Arabidopsis thaliana: one gene and its partners. The protein of the gene in region 2 purifies or fractionates together with the protein of the main gene of each other region. This does not show direct contact. Each region holds a gene or a part of one and is shown on either strand. Other genes may lie near its edges.

What was found.
Region 1: the proteins of SUN2 (region 2) and WIP3 purify together in Arabidopsis thaliana (affinity purification with western blotting, with the first as the bait; one study listed by BioGRID). This does not show direct contact.
Region 3: the proteins of SUN2 (region 2) and WIP2 purify together in Arabidopsis thaliana (affinity purification with western blotting, with the first as the bait; 2 studies listed by BioGRID). This does not show direct contact.

The regions. Positions count from the first base shown.
Region 1 is NC_003070.9:2,607,312-2,616,287, forward strand, and holds WIP3 (WIP domain protein 3), read right to left. Parts: upstream 6,067-8,976; 5' UTR 5,870-6,066; coding exon 5,282-5,869; intron 3,795-5,281; coding exon 3,369-3,794; 3' UTR 2,685-3,368; downstream 1-2,684. Other genes in the region: AT1G08270 (vacuolar protein sorting-associated protein), read right to left, coding at 1-26; AT1G08280 (Glycosyltransferase family 29 (sialyltransferase) family protein), read left to right, coding at 1,097-2,293; NVL (no vein-like protein), read left to right, coding at 7,463-7,593, 7,692-8,115, 8,207-8,544, 8,724-8,976. UniProt on the Arabidopsis thaliana protein: Probable transcriptional regulator.
Region 2 is NC_003074.8:3,355,819-3,363,883, forward strand, and holds SUN2 (SAD1/UNC-84 domain protein 2), read right to left. Parts: upstream 4,885-8,065; 5' UTR 4,705-4,884; coding exon 3,625-4,704; intron 3,026-3,624; coding exon 2,738-3,025; 3' UTR 2,470-2,737; downstream 1-2,469. Other genes in the region: AT3G10720 (Plant invertase/pectin methylesterase inhibitor superfamily), read right to left, coding at 1-199, 963-1,763; ASD1 (alpha-L-arabinofuranosidase 1), read right to left, coding at 5,213-5,371, 5,454-5,600, 5,676-5,865, 5,946-6,002, 6,084-6,187, 6,277-6,348, 6,435-6,553, 6,636-6,780 and 6 more. UniProt on the Arabidopsis thaliana protein: Component of SUN-protein-containing multivariate complexes also called LINC complexes which link the nucleoskeleton and cytoskeleton by providing versatile outer nuclear membrane attachment sites for cytoskeletal filaments.
Region 3 is NC_003076.8:22,748,448-22,756,247, forward strand, and holds WIP2 (WPP domain interacting protein 2), read right to left. Parts: upstream 4,371-7,800; 5' UTR 3,917-4,370; coding exon 3,046-3,916; intron 2,872-3,045; coding exon 2,213-2,871; 3' UTR 2,015-2,212; downstream 1-2,014. Other genes in the region: AT5G56200 (C2H2 type zinc finger transcription factor family), read left to right, coding at 1-802; AT5G56220 (P-loop containing nucleoside triphosphate hydrolases superfamily protein), read left to right, coding at 6,424-7,800.

The DNA of each region.
Region 1 (8,976 bases), on a different chromosome or scaffold from region 2:
ATTTTGAAGTATTCAAGCGCGTTCATGTACAAAGGAAAAGCTTTGTTGTAGTTACCAGCATTGTCCTCTTTACCGCTTGTCTAACGTACTCGATCGCTTGTTCTTTGAAATTACTGTACATATTTTTTTTAGGGTTTATAGAAATAAATTCCTTCAATCATAAAATTGAATAATTTATCGAAAAAAATCAGATGATTAAAGAAACCCTAGGAGAAGCGTGGTTGATCCATGATCAGAAATTTAAGGGAAAGCAGAGAGTTTTGAAGTCGGTGAGGCTAACAGAGAGAAAGGAAAATTTTGATTTTTTTTTGACGTTTGAAAATAGAAACAACAGAGTGTTTGTGTGTAGAACACAAAGACGTCCAGGCGTCTGAGTTTCTAACTGTTTTGATGAATGACAAGGAGAATACTCGCTGGTTTTAATACCGGACCAAAAATGGGTTTAAAAGGTTCATTTAATGGGCTTAAATTTTGTGTGTCCAACGACTCCAATAGGGTTAGGCAAAAGACGCAGACATAGAACCTAATTGACAAGTCTCTCTACGTACGGCTAGAGAGAGTAATACCCGAACCAGATAATGGTTTCCCAAAATAACCTCTTTGTATATGATTTATGAACCCACTCTTTCTTCTTTAATCTTTCTTTCTATAGCGCAATTAAGATCATGGCTTGCACCTCCAGAAAAAGAAAGAGAGAGAGAGAAGTAAAGAATGATTAGTTTATTGAATTGGATCTTTCGTCTTTCTTCAGATCTCCTCCATTTAAGGACCTCCCCATATCTCTCTCACTCACCACCTTCCTTTAACTTCATTTGAAAACTTTCTTTCCCTAACCAAGAAACCAACAATGTCAATGTCGTCTCCTTCTTTTTGACTTCAATTTTACATTTTTTTATGTTTTAACTTCCTTGCTAATTTAGAATCATGAGTTTTCTAAAGCTCCTGTGAAGATTTTGAATACAGATTTCTCAAAGTTCTCTCCTTTACCATTAGACCCGTTAATGGATCCGACTTCAAAATCCGACCCGCGCCGTCAATTATTGGGGGTTTAAAAGCTTCCGACTTTCTTTCTTTCTCATCTATCACGGCGGCGTCGATGAAACGATCCGTTAGACCTCTCTTCAGTGCTCTTCTCTTCGCCTTCTTCGCCGCTACACTCATCTGCAGAGTGGCGATTCGTCGGAGCAGCTTCTCCTTCGCTTCCGCCATCGCTGAGCTTGGTTCCTCCGGTCTCATGACTGAAGATATTGTATTCAACGAGACATTGCTCGAGTTCGCCGCCATTGATCCCGGAGAACCTAACTTCAAACAGGAAGTCGATTTGATTTCCGATTACGACCACACTCGGAGAAGCCACCGTCGACATTTCAGCTCCATGTCAATAAGACCAAGCGAGCAACAACGCCGTGTGAGTAGAGACATTGCTTCCTCCTCCAAGTTTCCGGTAACGCTTCGTTCTTCTCAGGCTTATCGTTACTGGTCAGAGTTCAAAAGAAATTTACGGCTTTGGGCTCGTAGAAGAGCTTATGAACCTAATATCATGTTAGATTTGATCAGATTAGTTAAGAATCCGATTGATGTTCACAATGGTGTTGTTTCGATTTCGAGTGAAAGATACTTATCTTGTGCAGTGGTTGGGAATAGTGGTACATTGCTAAATAGTCAATACGGAGATCTCATTGATAAGCATGAGATTGTGATTCGGTTGAACAATGCGAAAACAGAGAGGTTTGAGAAGAAGGTTGGATCGAAAACAAATATATCTTTCATAAATAGTAACATTTTGCATCAATGTGGGAGAAGGGAGAGTTGCTATTGTCATCCTTATGGTGAAACAGTGCCTATTGTGATGTACATTTGCCAACCGATTCATGTTTTGGATTACACTTTGTGTAAACCATCTCATCGAGCTCCTCTGCTTATCACGGATCCGAGGTTCGATGTCATGTGTGCTAGAATCGTGAAGTATTACTCGGTGAAGAAGTTCTTGGAAGAGAAGAAAGCGAAAGGGTTTGTCGATTGGAGTAAAGATCATGAAGGCTCGTTGTTTCACTATTCGTCGGGTATGCAGGCTGTGATGCTTGCAGTGGGGATTTGTGAGAAAGTTAGTGTCTTCGGGTTTGGGAAGTTGAATTCAACCAAGCACCATTACCATACTAATCAGAAAGCAGAGCTGAAGCTTCATGACTATGAAGCAGAGTATAGATTGTATCGAGACCTGGAAAACAGTCCCAGGGCCATTCCATTCTTACCAAAAGAATTCAAGATCCCTTTGGTACAAGTTTACCATTGAATATACATATATACCATCAAGAGTTTTGTCATGTAGTTATTGTTGTTCAAGCGAAGAAGCTTGTTGGCAAGAGTGTCGTTTTGTCCAAGTCCCAAAGATTTTGCTTCAGATTGGGCAGTGAAGATGCAACACTTTCCCAATGGTAAGAGTACTCTTTACAATTTTTAGATTTGTGTTGTCACACATATTGAAATATATATATGGTATATTTGGACGATATTCTCACATCAATATAAACCAAAATCATTCAGATTGACGTGTCGATCGAAAAAGTTAATCCCACACGCAAGTTTAATACGTTTGAGTAGTACGTTTATTCATGCAAAACACAAAAGCGTGAATCCTTGTAACAACAAGAAGATCGAAAGCTATTATATGTAATGAAAAGAGAGACAATATAATAGGAAGAGTCTTTAATTGAGGATTATCGTACAATAATGAAGTGAAGCACACCAATTTTCTCTTCTAATACAAATACATGAGAGAAACAGAAAATTCACGTGCTTCACAAAATTTTAAAGAGAGAAACCATCTTTATTAAGAAGAAAACCCTAATTAAGATTGAAATCATACTTACTACTAATCACTAAGATAAATAGGGGTTTACTCGAGCCACAAAATGCTCTCCGACAAATACATCCCTCGGACAAAGAGAAGTTTTTGTTAGTGAGCATAATTAAACCTCCTTTTTTTCTTAAGGTTACTTATTTAGTAGCAAAAATCCCCTACCAAACCAAGAACCCTAATATCACATGCATATTACGTAACACACAAATACTCAAATCTATGTCTCAAACTAAAGCAAAATAAAATAAAAACAGACAGATGACACCGGGTTTCATGTAGACTTAATCGTAACCGTATCCAAAGGAAAAAGATCTAAATTTTAAAATGTTGCTTCATTTTATGTGGTAACTTTATATATTTTGATTTCGAGTCTAACAAAGAATTTCTACCTTTTCAAGATAGAAATTCTTTGGTAGACTTGAGATGTTTTGTGGCGCACAGTTTGAAGCAACATTAGAAAATTAGGATCTTACCTTCCACAGTCTCCCCGGTGTATCTAACAACATTCTCACTCTGTGGTGACGCATTCTGTATCCTCCTCAAAACCGTCAAACAAAAGAGACGGGTGAGGAGAATGTCCACTGCCAAAGGACCTAATGTGGTCCTTGAGAGACCTCTTATGCTTGAAATCTGATCCACATGTACAATACCAAAGCTTTCCGCAGTTTTTCTCATGGGTCCTCCAGTCGCCTTTCACAGCCAAGGCTTTGCCACATTTTCCGCAAGAAAAGGGCTTGGAGCCATGCTTACGTTTGTAATGTGTCTGAAGTGTACGGAAATCTTTCAGGGGCTTGGACCGCGGATGGTTGATGTTGTTCTTGCATCCCTCGGCACAGCAATAGCATGGCAGCCGCAGGATGGCTGCCGGTTGGATTGTGCCTTTCAACGAGTCAGCCCCTTTTCTGAACTCAGATCCATGTCCCCACATATGCATCTGTGTTTTGCATATATAAATTCATTAGACCATAAGAACTCTATTTTATTTTGAATATTATCAATTTAACATATTGATATTGTATGGTACCTAATAGACAATTATATATGATCTGTAGGACAGAAATTTCTTGTCCCATTATGTTTCTAAATAGTACTCGAATGCTTGTTCTAGTCAAGACTCAGGAGTGCATTTGCATTTAGGAGACTTATCAATAATACACAAATGTATAAAATTGTGCATATATTTATCACTGTAGGAATAGGGAATGGAATGGATATAAAAGGACTTGACGAAACTCTTGACCACGTATATGGTAATCACAATTTCAATAAGAAACCATATATGATGTAAGAAAAATGTGTTTTCTACTTAATTAACAAGTGGTATTGGGATAATGATTTTAATTTCGAACTAAAGTTGGGACGAAAGAAAATTTATAGTAAATGGTAAAGGAGAGAATCCTATGTAAAATATATAAACTTAGAAACCAATGATACTTAATTAGAAGGCTTTTTAATTACTAAGATCTTCATTAGGTTAAGTAATCGATTGCATATATTCAGTAAAAGTAGTATGATCATTGCTTTTTAAATTTTCTCCCCCTTTTTGGGTTTTTGCTGAATTATACTTTACCAAATCCCACTCCGTGATTATTCTTTTGCTTTTTGGCTTTTCAACCAAAAGGCAAGGCAAACAATGAAAAAAAGTCAAAAAGTTTTTCGAAGATTTCTCAACTAATCCAGAAGTTATATACCCATTCATCCTTCTCTTAATTTATCTATTGCGAATGATACACCAACCGCAATTAATTATCGTAATAACTAAGTCATCAATGTTCAACATCTTTAAATGACAAAAACTAATTTCCTTCCAACATTATGCATGTATGTATATATACGATAATATATTTTGTAGAATGTAAGATCATCATATACATATGCAGCAAAATTCTCACAAAAAGAAGTGTATGATCAATAGAAGGAATTAATTTACATGGTAATGTATGATCATACAATTATATAAACAATTATTTAACTGTTTTTAAACATTTATACACAAAGTACAATACATTACGGAATACATAATAATAATATACTTCTTTTTGTTTAAAATATGTTGTTAATTATTTTGTTATTAATGTGTTGTTGAATAATTAAGATATATATAAAGTTTTGTTTGCTGCGATATGATAAGTTTCCCTTTGAGGGGAAAATGTTATTCTTCAAAAACAAAATGAATTTATCGACCGTTTTTTGTTTTTTGCTAGCTTATATGGGAAAATAAGTAAATAACCATAAATGAATTAATACCCTATGATAATGGCAAAGGTAAAGTTGATATAGTGCTAATGTTTCTTTTTCTTGGTAAATAATACATTGACATATAGTAAGAATGGTTAACACATAATGCAAGATTTGTAGCTGATATGTAGATTATCTAACAAATCATATAGGAAAAAGATGATATTTAGAGAGAAGACGTACCTGCATGTTATTGTACCTATTGAATGTTTTGCTGCAAATAGAGCAAGCAAATTGCATTGGACCGACATGAATCTGAGCCGGACTTGGTATCCAAAACCTCTTCCCACATACTTCCACATCAGAATCAATTATCTCCTCATCAAACTTCATCTTCCTCCTCTTCTTCATCATCACCACACCATCTTCTATTATCTCTCTCTTGATGGGTTTCTTCTGATGATCGAAAGTTATATCAGAGCCATCCTCCGAGCTACCACGGTGGTATTTAGGAAATCCGATTTGGAGGGTAACCACATCATCCTTATTCTCTTCTTTGATATCCGAGGCTTGACTATTATTTTCCATGAGCTTGTTTAGAAGAGGCAAGCATTGAATAGACGTGTTGAGTGGTTCTTGTGGTTGGTACAAGAATAGAGATCGTTCCAACATGTTCATCTGACTCTGGTGGTGATTTGATCTTGATATAGCATCTCTTGTCTTCCCACGATATAACACAGATTTAGAAGAAGTAGTAGAAGATTGAGGTTTAAGCCATTCAATAAAGCTTGGGGATTCGAAACTTAAGCCTTTCGTCTCATAAGAATTCATCTCTCGCTTTCTCTCCTCTCTTTCACTCTCCCTCTCTCTCTCTCTCTCTACCTCCACACGAAGAAGGGTAAGACTAGTAGTATGAAAAGTTTATATATTAATATCAACCTACCTGGTGTGTATCGTAGCCGTTCGTCAAAATAGGTTCTCTCTTTATTTTTCTCCAATACAAAATCTTCTTCTTTAAAGTTTTGTTTTCTTTTCCTCCTACCCCCCAAAACGTATAGTGCAGAAATGTCGCACGTGTCTGTCTACGCGTTTACATCAAGAGGAAAAGAGTGAAATTTTCTTCACAAAAATGTGGTGGGTCTTACTTCACATAGTGAAAAGGAAACGCACAAGCGCAAGGCTTTTCAATGAAAGAGAATCCTAAGAATCATAGTCTTTTTTTTTTTCTTCTTTACCCTCATTTCCTTTCCCATTATTAAAATTTTGTAACATCTTAAACCAACAAATACGATATCCTTTCATCATATTATAGTCATGATTGTCATTTAAGTGCATATAGACCGGCGAAGACAAAATTCATCATTACATATCAAAACAACAATTCCAACATCATTTTAGCCGTCTTTTTAGGGACAAATGATAAAAAAAGGTAAATTGTTATAAAATCACGCGTTCACTTTTATTGACGTTGGATGATCCAAGTAGCAGATTACACGATATTGATGATACATACACTGTTTTTCATACGCAAGACTTTTCTAGCTAGTACTCTAATCCATGATTTGCACTTTATTTAAAGATATATGAAAATATTTATTAGCTTTGGAAATGAGTTCACTGATATTCTTTGATGCATGATTGGGTTCACGGGTCTATAGTTGATATGGCAGCCCACACACGTATATGTTTGCAAATGGTACTATAGAAAACTGAATCCAAAAAGTGTGAAACTACTTTGGTTGTATTTCATTCCCGTTTTAAATCTGTCGAAGCTATATTCATTCAGAAGTAATAAAGCTTAACATTAATCCAAAAAGCAGTCGCATTAGACATTCCCATCCTCACGGTAGCGTTAGAAAGACTGGAATGGAGCACAACAAGCAGATGAGATGACCTACACGAAGGAGTACGTTGACCCAAAAACTGTAATGAATTTACGTTAATTTTTGTGTTATAGACGAGGTTTTAGGACGTTGTAAGATTTTGAATACAAAGAGGTAGTGGAGTTTTGACCCATTAAGCACAAGATTTTTCTTAGAAAACAAAAAGGTTACCGCAAGTAAGTCAATACCTGAAGAATAAAATACTTGAAAGAAAAACCTAAGAAGAGTGAGTATTCATTTTAAGACGAAAATAGAAGCTGATTCAATGTATGTGTCATGTTGTGGTGGACCCTAAAACAATATTAACCGCGCAAAATTTCCGAATGGTAGTATAGCTAACCGTTGAACCGTATGCTACTATGCTTTCATTCACTAAAGAATTATGGTTTACGTCCCATGCGGTTCAAACACGGTATATACATATCTGGTCATATTTTGTGAAACCGGGTTTGAACAACTCACCAATACAATAGTACTACAATTCAAATTAAATTTTTCTTTTTGTAATTAAACTTCATTTTGGTATAATTAAAGAAAAAAAATGTTTCCTTTTGTTGACCGATACAATGACTGTATATTCAAAAAATTACTTTTAGACATCCAAATTATATTTTCATCTATCAATTACAATATTATGAAAATTATATATTTACAGATGCTAAATCAAAAACGGTACGTTTCACCTTAAACCCTAACCCTCCGAATGAGCTAGAGAGACACCAGCCCTTCTATTAAAAGTTAAAACCCTTCCCTCTTTACTTCTCCGATAGCTTTTTATTTTCCTCGTTTTTGCGCCGACCAATGCAAGGGAATCGCGACGGCTCGTGGTCACTACGCGCCTCCGCGTACGGTGGAAGCGGCAATGGAAACGGAGGGTATCTTCCTCAAACGACTCCTGTATTTCACAATTACATTGTCAAACAACAACAACCCATCAGATACAATTTCCAGACGCAGCAGAATCTCAATTTCCCTCATCCACAATTTGGCGGCGGCGCTAATGTAGAACTTATTCGAATTGATAAGGCCGTAAACAATACGCGTAAATCATTAATTGCTGCTGGAGACAACGTATCTTCGACTAGAGTTTCGCAATCGGTTTTAGCACAACTTCAGGCTGACACTTGGCGTTCCTTGGGGATATGGATGCAAGATGTTCCTTCGCTTCGCCAACTCATGGCCCTTGAAGGCAAGGTAAAGCTTAAAATTTTCTATATTGCAAATGAAACAGAGCCTATCTATTGCAAAGTTGATTCCTTTTACTTAAAACCTTTGAATCTTGTAGATCATTGCATTTATTCACTGCTTCATTGGCGCTAGAGGAATCGTGACATTGCATGATTTGGAAGTGGCAATATGCCAAAACGAGTTTGTTGGTTGTTTTGATGATCTGGGATTGGGACCTTTGCTGCAGCATCCACTTGTCTTGCTCTATTTTCCATCCGTCTATTGTTCTACTGCCCCAGTTAAGATCACTAGTGAGGAGATAATATCATTACTTGATAGCTATCTAAACACTTACGATATTGACGATGTTAAGCTCGATGAATTCCTGGATTTTGTTGCTGAGGCTAAAGCAGTTACAAGCAAGGAAAAGCTTGGTGTCCGTATTCAGAACTTGCGGTATGATCAGTTTGATAGTTTTTCTGTGCGTTGTTAAGATCTTTTGATTTTTTTGGATGTTGAATTGAAGTTTGGTTACAAGTGAATGAATCTGGTTTTTAAGGAATCACTAGATTATTGTATTAGTTGGTTGTATATGTTCGCATTAGCTGATTTTATTTGTTTAATGCATTTTATAGGATGTATGTATCTTTCATTCAAGATGCGAAGAGACAAGAAGGCGAAATATTGAAGATCGTATTGACTGAACTGCATCAGAAGTATCGCATCCTCTCATCAAAGAAACAACGGCAAGATAAGGATTATTGTGGCAAGCATACAAGATTTAATTCACCGAGCTCGGAGGAAAATGATAGTGCTGATTATGAGGTTGAAAATGTTAAAAGATCTGACCATTTCAGTAGTTGTCCGTATTCATCTGCTGAAGAAGAG
Region 2 (8,065 bases):
AGTAACCATCCTCTGGTCTAGTGTTATTAGGTGCGGCTGCAATAGCATCGGTGATGGTTGTGAAGTTGTCGGATTTGAACGGACCGACGATCACTGCTTTACTCACGAGGATGGAACCGCCGCTGGTCTCACCTAGCTCCCCTAAGTTCCGGCTAGTTTTCCGGCAATCTTTGTCGTTGTCGCATGTTTTACGTAAACCCTATACCAGAAAAAGAAAATGTGCTTAGTACATGATTAGCTTGTAGACTCATGCCTTTTTAAAATCAATGTTCATTGTAGCCACACATGAAATGACCGGGACACTCTTATGCACGTGAATACAGTTGGATCCGAATGGGGACCAAATTGATTTCTTTTGTTAAAGTCAAAGATAGGACTCATTTGATCATTGTTGAGTTGTACTAAAATGTGCGTAGGCCATGTGCCATTTACTCTCTTACGCGTGTTCTGGCTCACACACACAAAACAAGAGCACATCCATTTATGACTCGATCTAGAAAATTTTAGATATGCACGAATATTAAATCATTCCGTGCGTCCAAAGTAGTAAATTCATACCATATTTAACTTAGTATATGTCCTCCTACGATGCTTATCTATTCATACATGTATGTCCAAAAAGGCTTTTGCATAACCTTTCATTATTCATGTTTGAATTGTGGTGAGTGGTGACCATACAAAAATTATTATAAATCATCGATTTAAAAACTCTGTTTTGATTTTTTCTAAGGATTTATGATAAGAAGGCATATATATATATATATATATATAATGTTTTTGGTATTTCCCCAAATTCCTATTCTTATATCTCTATGCCAACCATTTCAAAAATATGTAATGTCTTTACAACTAGATTATTAACAACTTTATAATAATATGTAAAGGAATGTATAAAAGCTAGTATAAACAAACAAACAAAAACGAAAAAAGAAAAGAATTAGAAACAAGTTTTAATTAATTACCTTAATCAAAGTCTCGAGCGGTTCGCGATAGGTTGAGTTCCCACCACCAAGAATCTTCCCTTTGGAGGCTTTAAACCTCTTCAGGTTACGGTTAAGTGCGTGGCTCACAAGTCCTAACGAGATACTGTAAAGGCGAGTGAGATTCCCCATCGGCGAACCAATCGCGGCGGCGAAACCACTCTTAGCCTCCACGAGTCCGTCAAGACACGTCTGCTGATTCGTCACTACACCACTGAGAAGACTGTTCACATGCTCGACGAGAGCTGCCGTCATCACCTGCGCCGTCTTAAGCTCCGTCGTGACGGTTTCAAGGTAGTTCACACTCAGCTCCGATAACTCGCCGCAGTCCGCCACCGCCCCTATTTCCTCGGCCGTGGCCGAGCCTGGTTTGCTTTCCACGCGCCGCGCGTAACTGGTGATGACTTTGGATAGACGGCTTGCTTGCTTGAGGCATTGCTTTATAGTGAATTTGCCGTAACGGTAAGGATCTGACGGTGAGGATTTGACAGCGTTGAGGATCGTACGGCAAAGCTTAGGGTATGGAGTTGACTTGCAAGCGAGAGAAGGTGACTGAGACTGTGACGGAGGCAAAGAAGGTGGCTGTGACGGTGGCACGAATATTGGTGGCTGTGACGGAGGGAAGAATGGTGACTCTACCGGAGGCTCAAAAGGTAGCTGTGACGGAGGCTCAGAATGTGGCTGTGATGGAGATTGTTGTGATGAGATAAGCAGAGCACATGAGAGGAAGATAAAAGACAAGAACAAGAGAGAAGAAGTGAAGTTTAGTGTTTGCATTTTCATCCTTTTTGTTTTGTTTGTGTATTGATGGTGTTTGTTATTTTGGATCTAAAATCTGCTATATATATAGACTATACGAGGAGCTTTCTGCTATTTAATGAATGCATGGGCTCGAGGGAAACTGAATTTATCATTTATGTAATGCATGTTGGTCTAATAATTAAGGGTTATACTCGTTTTGGTCAAATGAAGAGTTTTTTTGGAGCCGGTGGTCCACCGTCACGACGACCAAACATGGGTTGACTTGGTTAGGAAAGGTTTCTTCATGTGATTTAACCGTAAAAAATGGCTATTTTTAGAGCTTAATTTTGTTTAGCTCAATTTGTTATGCCAGTTGACACTGTAAAAAATTAACATTAATCAGACATGTCAAAGATGAATTTGTATTTAATTTAATTTATAATCAAACAAGCTGTGTTGACTTGGAAGAGGGTTTCATATCTATTATTTGACCGTAGATTTTGCATGTGATGTGTTGGGAAGCTTTTAGACAAGGCAAGACGGTGCAGCCTAGAAGAAGAAGTCGTCACTTTGTCGATTACGCAATTCACACTAACAAGTTATGGTCCATCTATATACACACTCTTCCTATTCATCACATATCGTTGTAATACCAAGTACCCAAGGTAACCATTAATAATCCAAATTCAATATTTGTTTCAACTAATGAAATATGTATACTCTATTAGAATTTGTATGATTTGTTTTAGGTGAAAGCTTAAATTGAAACTCTGTTACAAAACCAAAACCGGACATCAAACTAAGATCTATATTATTCAATTCGGAGGATACATACCCTGACCAAATAAACCGAACCAAAACAGATTTGAAGCTAATAATCACGAATACAACCAAATGATTCTGATTACAGACTAAGAGAAGCTTTCCCACCACATAAACTAACACAAAAAAAGAAGAGAGATATCTATTAGAGGGAATGTTACAAAGAGAAGAAAAGTTTGACGTGGACTTTCAGATCAAGCATGAGCAACAGAGACTGAGTCTAGTTCACGGCCATGAACCCTGAAGCGGTAGATGCAAGTGTGTGAAGAGCTTCCATGGTTGGAATTGAAGTCTAGCCTGACAGTGTTGACAAGTCCTGAGTGAGCAGAGTCTGCAATGTCGAATGTCTGTGCATTGGACCTGTCTAAGTCGTAACTGAATTCTGTAAGAAGGGGCATTGTCTCAGTCTCCATATCTATGTCACCTAGCCATCCTGATACACGGCAATCCTTTGGGGCGCTCGATCTGTCATATGCTACAGCCTGTTCGATTAAATGGTGCATAACATAACCGTAAGATTAGTATTGCCTTTTAGTGGTCAGACAAGAAGAAATTTATCAGACAAATGATCACAAGGATGAACAATGATGGAAAGCAATGTGTGACCATCACATTACACACTCTTGAGACTATTTCCCTTCAGCTACTGTTTCCTAAGGATATCCGTAAACAGTGAATATTACAGTTCCACTAATTGTAAACTTACAAGCTCTTCCCATACATACGGTTCTTTTCTCTGTCAACGATGTCCCAAACAAAGCACAACAACACAGTGGCATTGATATTAGACAAAGGAACTGCTAAAGCTAGTGATTTGCAGAAAATAACAATAGGTAAAATCCTCCTCAATGCATATTGTCACAGCTAGTGCCTAAACTAAACCTCAAACTATAAGAACTCAAATTCACAAAACTAGTTTCTTGCCCTCTATTCGATAACCTATTGTCACCAGCAATCCAATCCGAAGTACAGGGCATCTCAATACCAACAACATTTAACAGAGAACCCTTCTTGAAGGCTCAAATTAACATATAAAAATCAATCATTTTGTGAAAGTTTAGTATTGAGATGTTAGTACTACCTTAGAGACATGTTCCAAAGTAACAGCTTCTGGAATTATTGGTGCTCTTAGCCTGACTAGAACATATCCATTGCTTCCTTTCAGAGGAAAACACTGTCCAGGCTCCCCGAAACTCGGAGTTAACATCTTAACCGCTTTGCTATGAACCCGTCTCCTGCTTGTCCCAAACCAATTACGCCCATTTCCAACAAGAAACGGATCCGAATGCCCCATTACAAAAGCTCCACCAGACGCTAACGCATAATCTACTCGACCAAGGCCATCTGCAACATGTTTCCCTATCTCTTTCTCCACTATGTCACGAGCATAAGCCCTCAGTTTATCAATGTTAACATCAGAATCACCGACCTTACCCTTCTTCAACTCCTCGTAAACTCTCTCTAACTCCTCTCTAGACACCAAAGGTTTAGCATTTAACTCATCTACAGAAACCTGTAACCTCTCTGTCTTAGACTCTACCTTCTTCAACTCACTATGTAACACAGAAGATGTGGAATCTATCGTCTGCCTCAATGCTCTTGATTCACTATCCATCTTCTTATCAAGAAACTCAACTTGAACCTGCATCATCTTCGTCGTAGTCTTCACCAAACCATCAACTGCAGAAATCCGACTCTCCAATTCCGAAAGCACCATTTCCGTTTCAATTGGGAAATTCGAAGAAGACAGAGACGAATCCTTCAAAGTCAATTTCCTAATCAACTGAATCAATCCAACAAGTAACAAAAGAGCCCCAAATTGCTTCGCGAATACCCTAACCACTGTCTTCCATTTCCCTCTATCTATCTTATTCCCCTGAGACTTCCGCGTCCGACGCTGCGTGGTGGTTGTATTAGTCCCCGTCGCGGTGGATCCTGATTTCCTTGTCACCGGACCTACGTCGTAGGTGTTGGATCTCTCACCGGCAGCCTCGGCGCGAATCAGATCCTTGTTCGTACCAGCAGACGACTCTCCAATTGCCGCATTGGCATGAGATTCGCTCGGCGGGAAATCAAAATTAGATTTCTTCTCACCGGAGAGAACCGGCGTCCGCCTTATTGTCCTAGGACTAGCGGTGATTGACACCGTTGACGCCGACATGATCTTCAATTTTGAACTACAGAATTCGAAATGCTCTTCCTTATGAATAAATAAACCCTAATTTTGACTACAGAGAGAGAGATTTGAAATGGAAGAAGAGTGAGGAAGTTTATATAGGAGAGAGATCACTACAAAATTCAATTTTGAAAATCTGAATCGTGTGTTCTTCAGTTTCGCCATTTTTATTTGTTTTGATGCTCCTCCATTTTTTTCAAAATTCATTATGATGGGCTTTTAAAAGCCCAATAATGGAAATAAAATGGCCCAGCCCACTTTCACGCCTCGTCATCTTCTTTTATGCTAAGAAGAAACTGTTGCTTCATCATTCTTGCATATCAAGATATCTAGAGTCGAGATAAGCTCATGATTAAAGAAAGTAAATTTATTCACCAGACTATTATTATATATACACAAGGGTACGTTATAAGCATTTATGGAATGTAATTAGATTTGAACCACAAAGAGACTTTTGACATGAAAGTTGATACTTCCTTGTCATTGTTTCTCTTCACACAGTGGTAGTTTTCTGATGGGAAGAAGAATCAGAGATTGGCATTCTTATCTTTGCAGATTCCTTCAACAAATCGAATGAAGAAAAGGAATGTGGCGGGAGAACAACGGTCATATCCTCCTCTGCCAACTCTAGCAAGCTTTCATGTGGTACAACCTGCAAATAAAAACCAATAAGAACATGGGAACACTCAGAATTTGTGATGATAATGATGTTTCTTCCATCTCTTGATTTTTACCTTCTCTGGCTGTGAGAAGGAATTTTCATCCATCACATTGGTAGAGGTAAGTACTGTCTTCTTTGATCCCGAAACTCTCATCACGTTCGGGTCCAATCCAGTTACCAACACTTGCATATTTTCTGAGTTAGCTCCGAAGTTTACAGCCTGCAAATAACAGATTTTGAAACAGTTTTTTAGGGTCAATATCAGAGCTCCGGTTGAATCTTTCACTCGGTTTACCTTTATGCGTATGTAATCTTTGCCATTGTTTTTCCAAGAGATAGCAGATGCAACAAGAGAAGTAGAGTTTCCCTTGAGTGTTGAAGTGAGAAGAGTTGCTCCGCTTGACTCTGCAAAAAACCGTTGAACCCAATAGCTAGGTGTTCCATATAGATGAGAGGAGTTGAAGACTATTGCATCAGGGTTCCACCTGAAACCAATTTAACAATTTGAGATTATTGCCTTATCTTCCTGAGTAACCATTCGAACGGAAAAGTAAGTGAGAGATACCGTCTATCATTTGTGTTCACAAAGAGTGGAGCATAACTTGCCATTTCAACAATGTCACTGCAAAAAGTCATAAGATGTTTAACTTATTTGATGTTTTTAGTTGAGATCAAAGCCTGGGAAGAGAAATTCAAAGGGAACCTATTCTTTTCAAGACCAATGAGAAACGCAGCTTCTGCAAGAGAGGCAAGAAGGCTTCCTGTACCAGCATCTTTTCCAGTAACAGCATATTCACTGACAAAAGCCTGTAAACAAAGTTCACGAGTGAGTAAAACGCTGAAAGCTTCATCTTGTGTTTGTTGGAATTAAGTTTTGTTATAATCTATTACCGCACCTTTGGACCTTTGCGTGAAGTGCGATCAAATTGATGATACATGGAAAACAAATTGCTAGCAGAAGTGTAAATCTGTGACAAAAAGGAAACACTTTTTTCAGGCGGAAGAGAGAACACAAGACAACGGTTACAGTTTCTGTCAAGATAGAAAATTTTACGTGATAGTCATAGTAATCAGCTGGGTGGTCGAGTGGATGAGAGGATCCATCGCAGTTGGAGATGATTTTGATATCTGGATAGGCTTTCTTGATAGCATCATAGAACACAATGTAGTTTCCTGTAAAGTTGTAATCTCATTTAGTGTCAAAGATGCTCAACAAAAATCTAAGTCAAGATGTGATCATAGAGAAATGCAAAACCTCTGTAGTAAGTTTTCCCACAATCTTCATTTCCAATAGCAACGTATTTAAGTTCAAAAGGTTCTTGGCGTCCCATTTTAGCTCGAACAGATCCCCAAGTAGAATTGGCATCTCCTCGGGCAAACTCGATACCGTCGAGTGCTTCCTGAAACAAAAAGAGGAGAAAGTTTTGGTTTTCCGGCTTCTTCACTAGTGAAACAGAGGAAGGTTTAGTAATCATACTTGAACAAAGGGCATGATACTGGCAGTTTCAACTTCATCATTGTGACTTATCCCTGCACAAAGTAAAAAATAAGGTTGACAGAATTGGAAGACAAAATGATATAAGTCAGTTACAACTAAGTTTTTGGAGAGTGAAAGAATACCGTTGTTAAACACCCATATCGGGGCTGCACCGATGTCTTCTGCCATCTGCAAGAATGTTCATTTAATATTCAATAACGAGCTTCGGGGATCATTATGTACTCAATAGAAAAGAAGAAGTCTCACTTGAAAGAACTCAAAGTGGCCAAGGCCATCATCGGTCCAATACTTCCAAACATCACCAAAATGGCCCGGTCTCTCTTCCCAAGGTCCTACGGTTTCTTTCCAGCGGAAGGCATTACTTAACCATTCACCCTCGACAAAACAACCACCTAAATTCACAAATATCCAGAGTAAAGAATAGACTTTAGCTTATTTCATCTTAAGTCATGCTTTTTGTCATATTGAACTAAGAGGTACGTCTATGGATAGAATAAGTAACAAAAATGCTACTAGCCTTAAATAATACGTACCTGGGAACCGGATGAAACGGGGTTTTATATCGGCCATCATTTGGAAAAGATCGTTTCTAAAACCATGTCCCTGCAATCAACCAAAAAGATCGAGTATTTGATAGAGTTCTTCTTCCAATATTTTCTCTATTAGCAATCTGTAATCTTCCATCTCAAGGCTCTACAGGGAATCAGAGAGAGCGAAAAAAGAACCTTGTGAGTATCCACTGGCATGGCCGAGACTTGGTCAATCCATATTGACCCTTTCTTGGTTGTTGTTAACTGAAGTCTTGCACTAGGATCGGTCGCTTTTGCCTCCAAAAGAACCTCTTTTTTAATCCATTTCGAAACATCAGAAGCAGAAGCTCTACATTGAAACAAATGAAAGCATACAATTGAAACTTTCACACACTGAAACAGCAAAATAAACATATTCAGACTTAACTGAAGAATCTGAAATTATTTCTCACATGATCTTTTCAGAAGCAAGAGTCCGTGATCCATTCGAGCTCGTCAACGACACAGACAAATCGATATCACCAGTCGAACGCACATAAAGAGCCACCTTGTACTTCTTTCCTTCTTCAATATTCTAACAGAAGATAGAAAATGAATAAACAGCTAAACCCATGCTCTTGACACCGAGGGAAACAAAAAACCGAGCTGTAAAGTGTT
Region 3 (7,800 bases), on a different chromosome or scaffold from region 2:
GTCAACAAAAGGGAAGAGAGGAAGGAGAGGTGATTTGAAGTTTGATGAAGCAGATTTGAAGGATCCACCTTTAGAAGATGTGAAGGATATTGATGATGCTAATGGTCTATTGTTCTTAGCTACTACTGCAGAAGCAGCTGCTAATCTTAATGTTGCTGAGACTTCTGCTTCGCGTTCCGTTGAAGAGAAATATCTGGAAATGGTCAAGAAGAGGAAGAAGAAGCAGAAGAGATTGTCTGAGATGGAGAAAGAGTCATCAACATCTACTCATCATGATCATCAGCTTGATCAGGTTGTTGTTGTTGCAGCTGAGGAAGGTGGTGGTGCCGGTGCACGTGAGAAGCACGTGTGTGTGACTTGCAACAAGTCGTTTAGTTCTTATCAAGCTTTAGGAGGTCATAGAGCAAGTCACAACAAGGTCAAGATATTGGAGAATCATCAAGCTAGGGCAAACGCTGAAGCTTCATTACTTGGAACTGAAGCAATAATAACCGGTTTAGCTAGTGCTCAAGGAACAAACACATCTTTAAGCAGTAGTCATAATGGAGATCATGTTTGTAATATATGTCACAAAAGCTTCTCAACAGGTCAAGCTCTTGGTGGTCACAAGAGATGTCATTGGACTGCACCAGTTTCTACTGTGGCTCCAACCACGGTTCCAACCGCTGCTCCAACCGTTCCAGCAACTGCGTCTTCTAGTCAAGTAACAGAGACAGTACAAGAGGTGAAGAAATTGAAGAGAAGAGTTTTGGAGTTTGACTTGAATGAGTTGCCACCTAACGAAGAAGAAGAAAGAGTCTAAGAGACGTATATATGCAAGCAAGTAATCTTTTTAACTTTAAAAAAAAAAAAGACAAAAAAATAAGACTTATTAAATTAGGAGGTAATGATGGTAAAAAGGAGTTGTTGACATTGTAGTATGAAGAAGAAAGAGAGAAAGATATTTTGATTTTGGGTTCTTATGGTACTTTTAGTGTTTGGCTTTTAATCTTAATTTGGTGGGGTCTTTTGTTAATTTGATTTGATGAGAAGATATATATACTCTTTTGTTTTCTTCTCTCAAGCTTTGATATGTTTCTATCTTTCTTTTATTATGCTTTTGGATTCACATAAAGCATGATAGTTTAATTGACCAAAGTTCCATAAAGTAAACCATCTTATTCATTTCACCATCTTATCTTTCTTTTCTTTTTTCAAACAAATGGTTTCTCCATAAATTTATGATGATAAATATTAGAAGTTGCTCCAATTAATTGGAATACCGAACTCTAGGACAAACAAAATTGACATTTTCTTAGTCTATGTTTGTAGAATAGTGGATCTCCAAGCAAGACCATATACAAATTTAACTTCCACTAAGAAATGATATGATCTATTATAGTTCAAGTTGTTGTTAGTGTGGTATTTTTTTACAATTTCTTAGCATATGTTACATACCCCAAATTTGAGTTTTGAAACACACCAAATTTGAAAGAAAGAATCAAATCTCTCTTCATTACACTAAGAAAAGAGACCAAACTATGGTAGGTCCAAATTTGTAAAATGATTTGGATATAAATCCAAAGATCATCACATTAAGACACCTATGAGTGAGTCTAAGATGAATAATAACTTCTTCTTTTTTTTAAGTATATTTGATCAAATTGATTATTGGTTTGCAAATCTAAAACTCTTCAAGACGTGGGCATTGTTAAGTGTTGTTGGAACAAACCAACATTAAGATGGCTGTTTATAGTCAAATTGTCAAAAGTCTCCACTTGCAGCTAATGACATAAGACCACTTCTATGTGTCATCACAAACAACACACCACACAATATATTCACACAACTATATTGAATTCTTCTTATTTATAAACTCTAAAGAGCTTACAATGAATATATATTAAGACCGACTCAAATTATTTAAAGGTTATGTGCAAATTTTCATTGTACATGTGAATATCTAAACTTTTTTCACTTGTGTGTTTATATATCTTATCTTCTGTATTTCATTATTTCTTATTTACTAAAGAAATTATGGAAAATGATGGCAAAGTTGACAAAGAGGCAACAATTTTATACATACACACTGACGTCATGACAATGCAGCACGCAGAAACACAAAGTAGAAAGCAAAGAAGAGTTGGGTCTATTGGAGCCAAAATGTTACAATATATATAAATACAAAACTTGTATAAATATAGATAAAAACAGATTCCATCAAACAAAACTATCATGTGGGAACAGCAATCTCCGGTTCTGGTAACAGAGAATAATACAGTATAAAGAGCAAGCCTAACTGTAGAAGAAGACATCTAGTGGTCTTAAATGCTCTCTTCTTCAGGCACTCCACTTCTTGAATCTCTGTGATCTCTACACAATGGTTTTGTAAATCTTGAGCTTGATTCTTTAGATTCTCAGCTTTTGTTTCTGCTTTATCAAGCTTTGATAGCCCCAATGTCTTCTCTTCTTCAATCAGTTTGATCCGTCTCTTTAGGTTTCCCACTGATCTTGAGAATATGATATATTCAATCTCTGCCTCCACCTTTTGCTGGAAGATGTCTTCTATCCCGATCTCTGTTCCTCCGTTACACGTCTCTGAAACGTTTATGGTAGATTCGAGTTCACGGATTTGTGTTTCTTTAACCTCGAGAATACGCTTTGCTTCTTCTAGTTTGATCTCCAGATGCTCTACATTGTTCACCAGGTTTAGTATCTCGGAATCTAGAGAAGTTAATTCCATTTCTCCCATCTTTTCAGACCCAAACCGGTAAGAAGAGCTTGCTTCACTAGCTCCTTCGTGTCCTGCGTGTATGCAACTGCTGCTTTCTCCTCCATCATGCAGTGATGTTATAGGTTCTTCTTTCCCAAGCTCTTGGAATTTTTGAAGTTCTGAAAAGGGAAAAAGAACAGGAGTTTAGTCAAACTCGAAACACAATCATGTTAATATTACACGGCATCATAAGGAACCAGTGTTAGAGTCATTCAAGTTTTAGTTGATTAGGACTACTACAATGCAGCAACAATCAAATTCCAAATGAAAATCTGTATTTATGAAATTGATACCTTTTTGGAGGGCTTCTTGCAAAGTCTGGAAACTGTTGACGGCTACTATTAATGGATCCAGATTGTCTGATGAACCATTGCTCTTGATTTGAGACTCTTCAACACAGTCTCCTTGTGAATAGTCTTCTGTTTCTTCTTCTTCTTCTTCCACGTTATCCTTTCTCTTCGAAGTATGTGCGTCATGATCACTATTTTCATCGTCATAATCCATCATTCTTCTTCCGCCTTGTTCTCTGCTACTCAAACTATAGGAAGCACCCTGCATAAACACAAAGTTGGAGCTTCTTGAGTCAGCAGATTCCATGCTGGAATGAGAGTTTTCCTTCTCAATTTTGATCCTTTCTCCTCTAAGTTTATTACTCTTCTCTACACTACTCTTCCTTTGTTGACTACTATCCCCCGAACTAATCACACTCTTCCCACCCGAGACCTTTCCTCTATGTTTGTCCCAAGAATGACTCATTGTACTACTCCGATCCTCACTGTTATCCGAATCAACACCAGCTGCAAAAGCAAGACCATTGCCATAACTCTCCCCACCCATTACAAAACCAACCACACTATTCACCGAGCCAACAGAACCAACACTATCTTGTCTAACTTCAGGTCCTGGCAAATGCATTTGTTTAGCATTCGGATCAACTAATCCTGACAACACCCTCTTCAGAGCTTTACTATTCTCCATACTCACAGAAGTATCATCCTTAACAAGATCTCTCCTTAACCTCCTCTTCCATTTTCTTAAACCAAATCCTTTTGATATAAGAGGAGAAGTCTCAACCGGTGAATTCAACTCTTTATCAAGATCACCAATCAAACCATTATTATCTTCAACAGATTCAAGAACAGAGCTTTCACTCTCCAAATCCATGACGACGCCACAAAAATACTAACTTTTCACATGGGATCAATCTCAAGACTAAACAACCACCATTCCAGTAAGAACCAGAGGCAAATTCAATAAAACCAAAATACGAAAACAAAAATGAAGCAATAGGGTTCTCTAAATTCAACTCAATTCCCAGATTAATCACATTTACGAAAGCCAATGAATCGAAAGTTTCGAGCTTGACGTACCTAATAAAATGGAACGCAAAACCACTCAAAGGTGAATCCTTTACGAAGAGACCGAAACGAAATTAGAAGACGATTTAAACGATTCGCAGAGATCTCTCTCTATATCCGTTGATTGTGGAAAGTTTCGTTGCGAAAAATCGTTTTTTTTTTCCCGGTTACGATCAAAAAACATTTTGATTCGTTTCCTTTTTTTTGTAATAGAGAAATACGAACGTGTGAGCGACATGGTCGGGACACGTGGCGAAACCGCTGGATACTTCAGCAACTACTCGGATATTTTATGACCGTTCGATTCGACGTGATCTTATCTGGTCGGATCTGGAATTCAACGGTGTGTGATATACCGTTAGGACTTTAATATGATCTCGACTATTTTACTAATTTACCCTCGTCTTTCTAACTTCTTCAGTTTTGACGTTTACATCTTTTCTATATACAGTGGTTGCCGTTTTTAGGTATGGAAACAACGAGACTTATCCTTGAGCGTTTGATAAACGCTTCCACATCGTTTGATAACGAGACTTTTCTACATACAGTATCAATCTTGTTTTGTTCATACGTCACACACTCCAAGATTTTGATGGTAAATTTTTTGTTTTTGTGTGTGTGTGTGTGTAATGTGTATGTTTTTAAAGTCCCTTATGATTGTAGATAAATGTGAAAATGTGTGGGGTAAATAAATAAAAAGTCACAAGTGGACTGGTCTTGGACCAATTCCCACTGTGAAATCAGATTTCAAATGTTGTGTCAGTGTACACATACATACATGCACCACCTTGAATTAAAAAAAAAAGATAATTACTCGATTATGAGGAGTTTATCTTACAAATTACAATATACTAAAATGTTATTGATAAGAAAAATTGTCAAATACTACTAGGTTACTACTTATGTTATGTTAGTACTATTGTTAGAAATTTAGTTCATAATCACATAGTGGAAGGAATTTCACTTACTTAGAACCCAAAATATGTTTTACGTAAAATATTCTCTTGACATTTTTCTCCTATTAATTGCAGCAATGATAGTATTATATGATTCAATACTCAATATAGTACAATGTTTGGAGTTTTCTATAGACCACAAAATACAAACAGTAAATGACAAACAACCAAAGTACTAAGAAAATTGAAAATGGTTCCCTTTCTTCAATCCTACAACCTCTTTTAAGCTCAAAGTTCAATGTCTTAAATCTGACTCTTGTCTATTTAACTCTCTTAAATCCAATGTAACCCATGTTATATTTATACTTCTCTAATAACTCGATCTTAAATAAAAACTGGAGTCTTCTTGGTAAACTAAAGAAGAAAAAAAAACTCATTAAAAATTTCCAGAAAATGCAGAGGAGGTTGAGAGAAGAGAGAGAGGAGAGCTAAAAACAAATGACATAAAGGAGAATCCAAGATTATAAATTTAAGTTAATTATAAAATGGTTTTTGATTAAGTGGGTGATCATTATAAAATGACATTGGTACATGTTTAGACATTAACCATCTCCAGGCTGCTTCTCTCTTAACCATTTCTTTAATCACTATTTTAAAAACAAATTAATGTCCATAAGCACTTTCAGATCCAACTCACAACTCCAGATTCTTCTCCCTCTTCATTATCACAATCTTCTGCTCTTCCTCAAAAAGAAACACAGAGAGAAAGATAGACGAGAGAGACAGGCTTGGTAATGAAAAGATATGCAGGGGAAGTGACACGTCTTTTTTTGCCTTGTGTCTGAAAAAGATCAAACAAAAGGGTAAGTCTTTAAGAAATCATCTTTAAAGATTTGACTAATATGTTGCTTTTTCATTGTTGGTCCTAGCTAGAGAGTAAAAAGATTCAATCTTGTTAATGATGATGAACATTAGACCACAAACTCAATGTAAAGCAATGATTTTTCTTCTGACCCGTGACCTCTCCATTGTTGCAGAGACTCTCTGAAACTGGCTTGGTGTTGTTGGTCAAATCTGAAGTAAGAGGAGGAGGAGAAATTAAATAAAGAAAAGAAGAAAACACAAATTGGGTTTCAACAGTGTTGTAGAAGAGGGACCCCACAAAATGGAAGAGTTAGATACATCACATGCAGTTTCTCAGATTTTACCTCAATCTCATTGAACTGCATCAACTGTTGCATTCATGTTCTGACTCATCTCCTCTCAGTCCCACTCACTTCAATATCATCTGTCAGAGAAACACCATTATGAGATTCATTACCAAGTTAGAGAGATAAAGACATAACCTTTTGAAGCTGAGAGGTGAGAGCTTTCATTTGAGTTTAATTTGTGTTTGGTGAAAGAAGTAAAAGGAGTAATGAAGGGAATAGAAGAAGAAGCAAGTTTAGTTGGTTTAACCATAAGAACTTCATCACCAGCAAGCTCTTCAAGTAAGAAAGGTAAAGAAGATCTTCTTCAAGCAAATAATAATGCTTCAGATTCATCTCCAAGTATCAAAAACTCTCCTTTCTATTCACCTTCTCTTGTGTCCCCACCATCTTCTGCTTTTGTTTCCGCTTTGCAATCTCCTTATATATCCCCAAGAGCTACAACACCCTCCATTACCACTCACAAGCCATCACCGCCTCTTTCTTACAAAGGCTCACAATCTGATGATGTACCAAGCAGCTCCTACACTCCTCCTTCTGACCAGTACGAGTTTTCTGATGAACAACCATCAGATCGGAAGCTCAAGTTATCAGCATCTTGTACTCCAGATCCTGCTCCTCCAAGGATCTCTTTCTCTTTCCCTGTTCCTAGGGTTTCTTTGGCTAAAGTCTCTGTTTCTTCACCTGCAACTAACACCAAGCTCAGGAGCTCTGATGTCTTCATAGGGTTTCATGGACAAAACCCAAACTTGGTGAGATTCTGCAAATGGTTAAAGTCAGAGCTTGAGCTTCAGGGAATCGCTTGTTTCGTTGCTGACAGAGCTAAGTATTCGGACACACAGAGTCATGAGATCGCCGACAGAGTTATCTGTTCTGTTACTTATGGGATTGTGGTTGTCTCTTGTTCCAGCTTGCTCAACTACCTTAGCTTGGAGGAAGTTAGGTTCTTTGCTCAAAAGAAGAACTTGATTCCTATTTTCTATGGAACTGGTCCTTCTGAGATTATGGGTCTTCTCAACTGCAATGCCATAGATAAAGAGTGTAAAGAAGCCATTGATGGGTTGATTAAGTCTCATGAGTTTAAACTAGAAGCTAATGAGAGTAACTGGAGAAGCTGTGTGGGAAAGACTGCGACGATTCTCAGGGCAAAGCTTGGGAGGAAGAGTGTGGCTGATAAAGAGATTGTGGAAGGGATTGATGAGCTTCCATTTCCGAGGAACAGATCTTTTCTTGGAAGAGAAAAGGAGATCATTGAAATGGAGATGGCTTTATTTGGTAATGGAGAGTATCTTGAGTCTACAACACCAAGTACCAGAGGAGAAGCAAGTGGACAATCTGAAGGACTTGCAGATGAGGAATCAGATGTTGTACCAACTCGAAATGGGAAGTTTATTAGCTTGGAGCTTGGAAGATGCTCAGATTCAAGAAGTGAGGCTTGGAGTGATCCAAATGGTGGGAAAAACTCTCTTAAAAGATTGTTGAAGACTAAGAAGTGTAGAAACAATAGTAACTGCAAAAGTAGCACAAGTGTTGTTTGTGTAAATGGAGTTCCAGGGATTGGGAAGACAGAGTTAGCTCTTGAATTC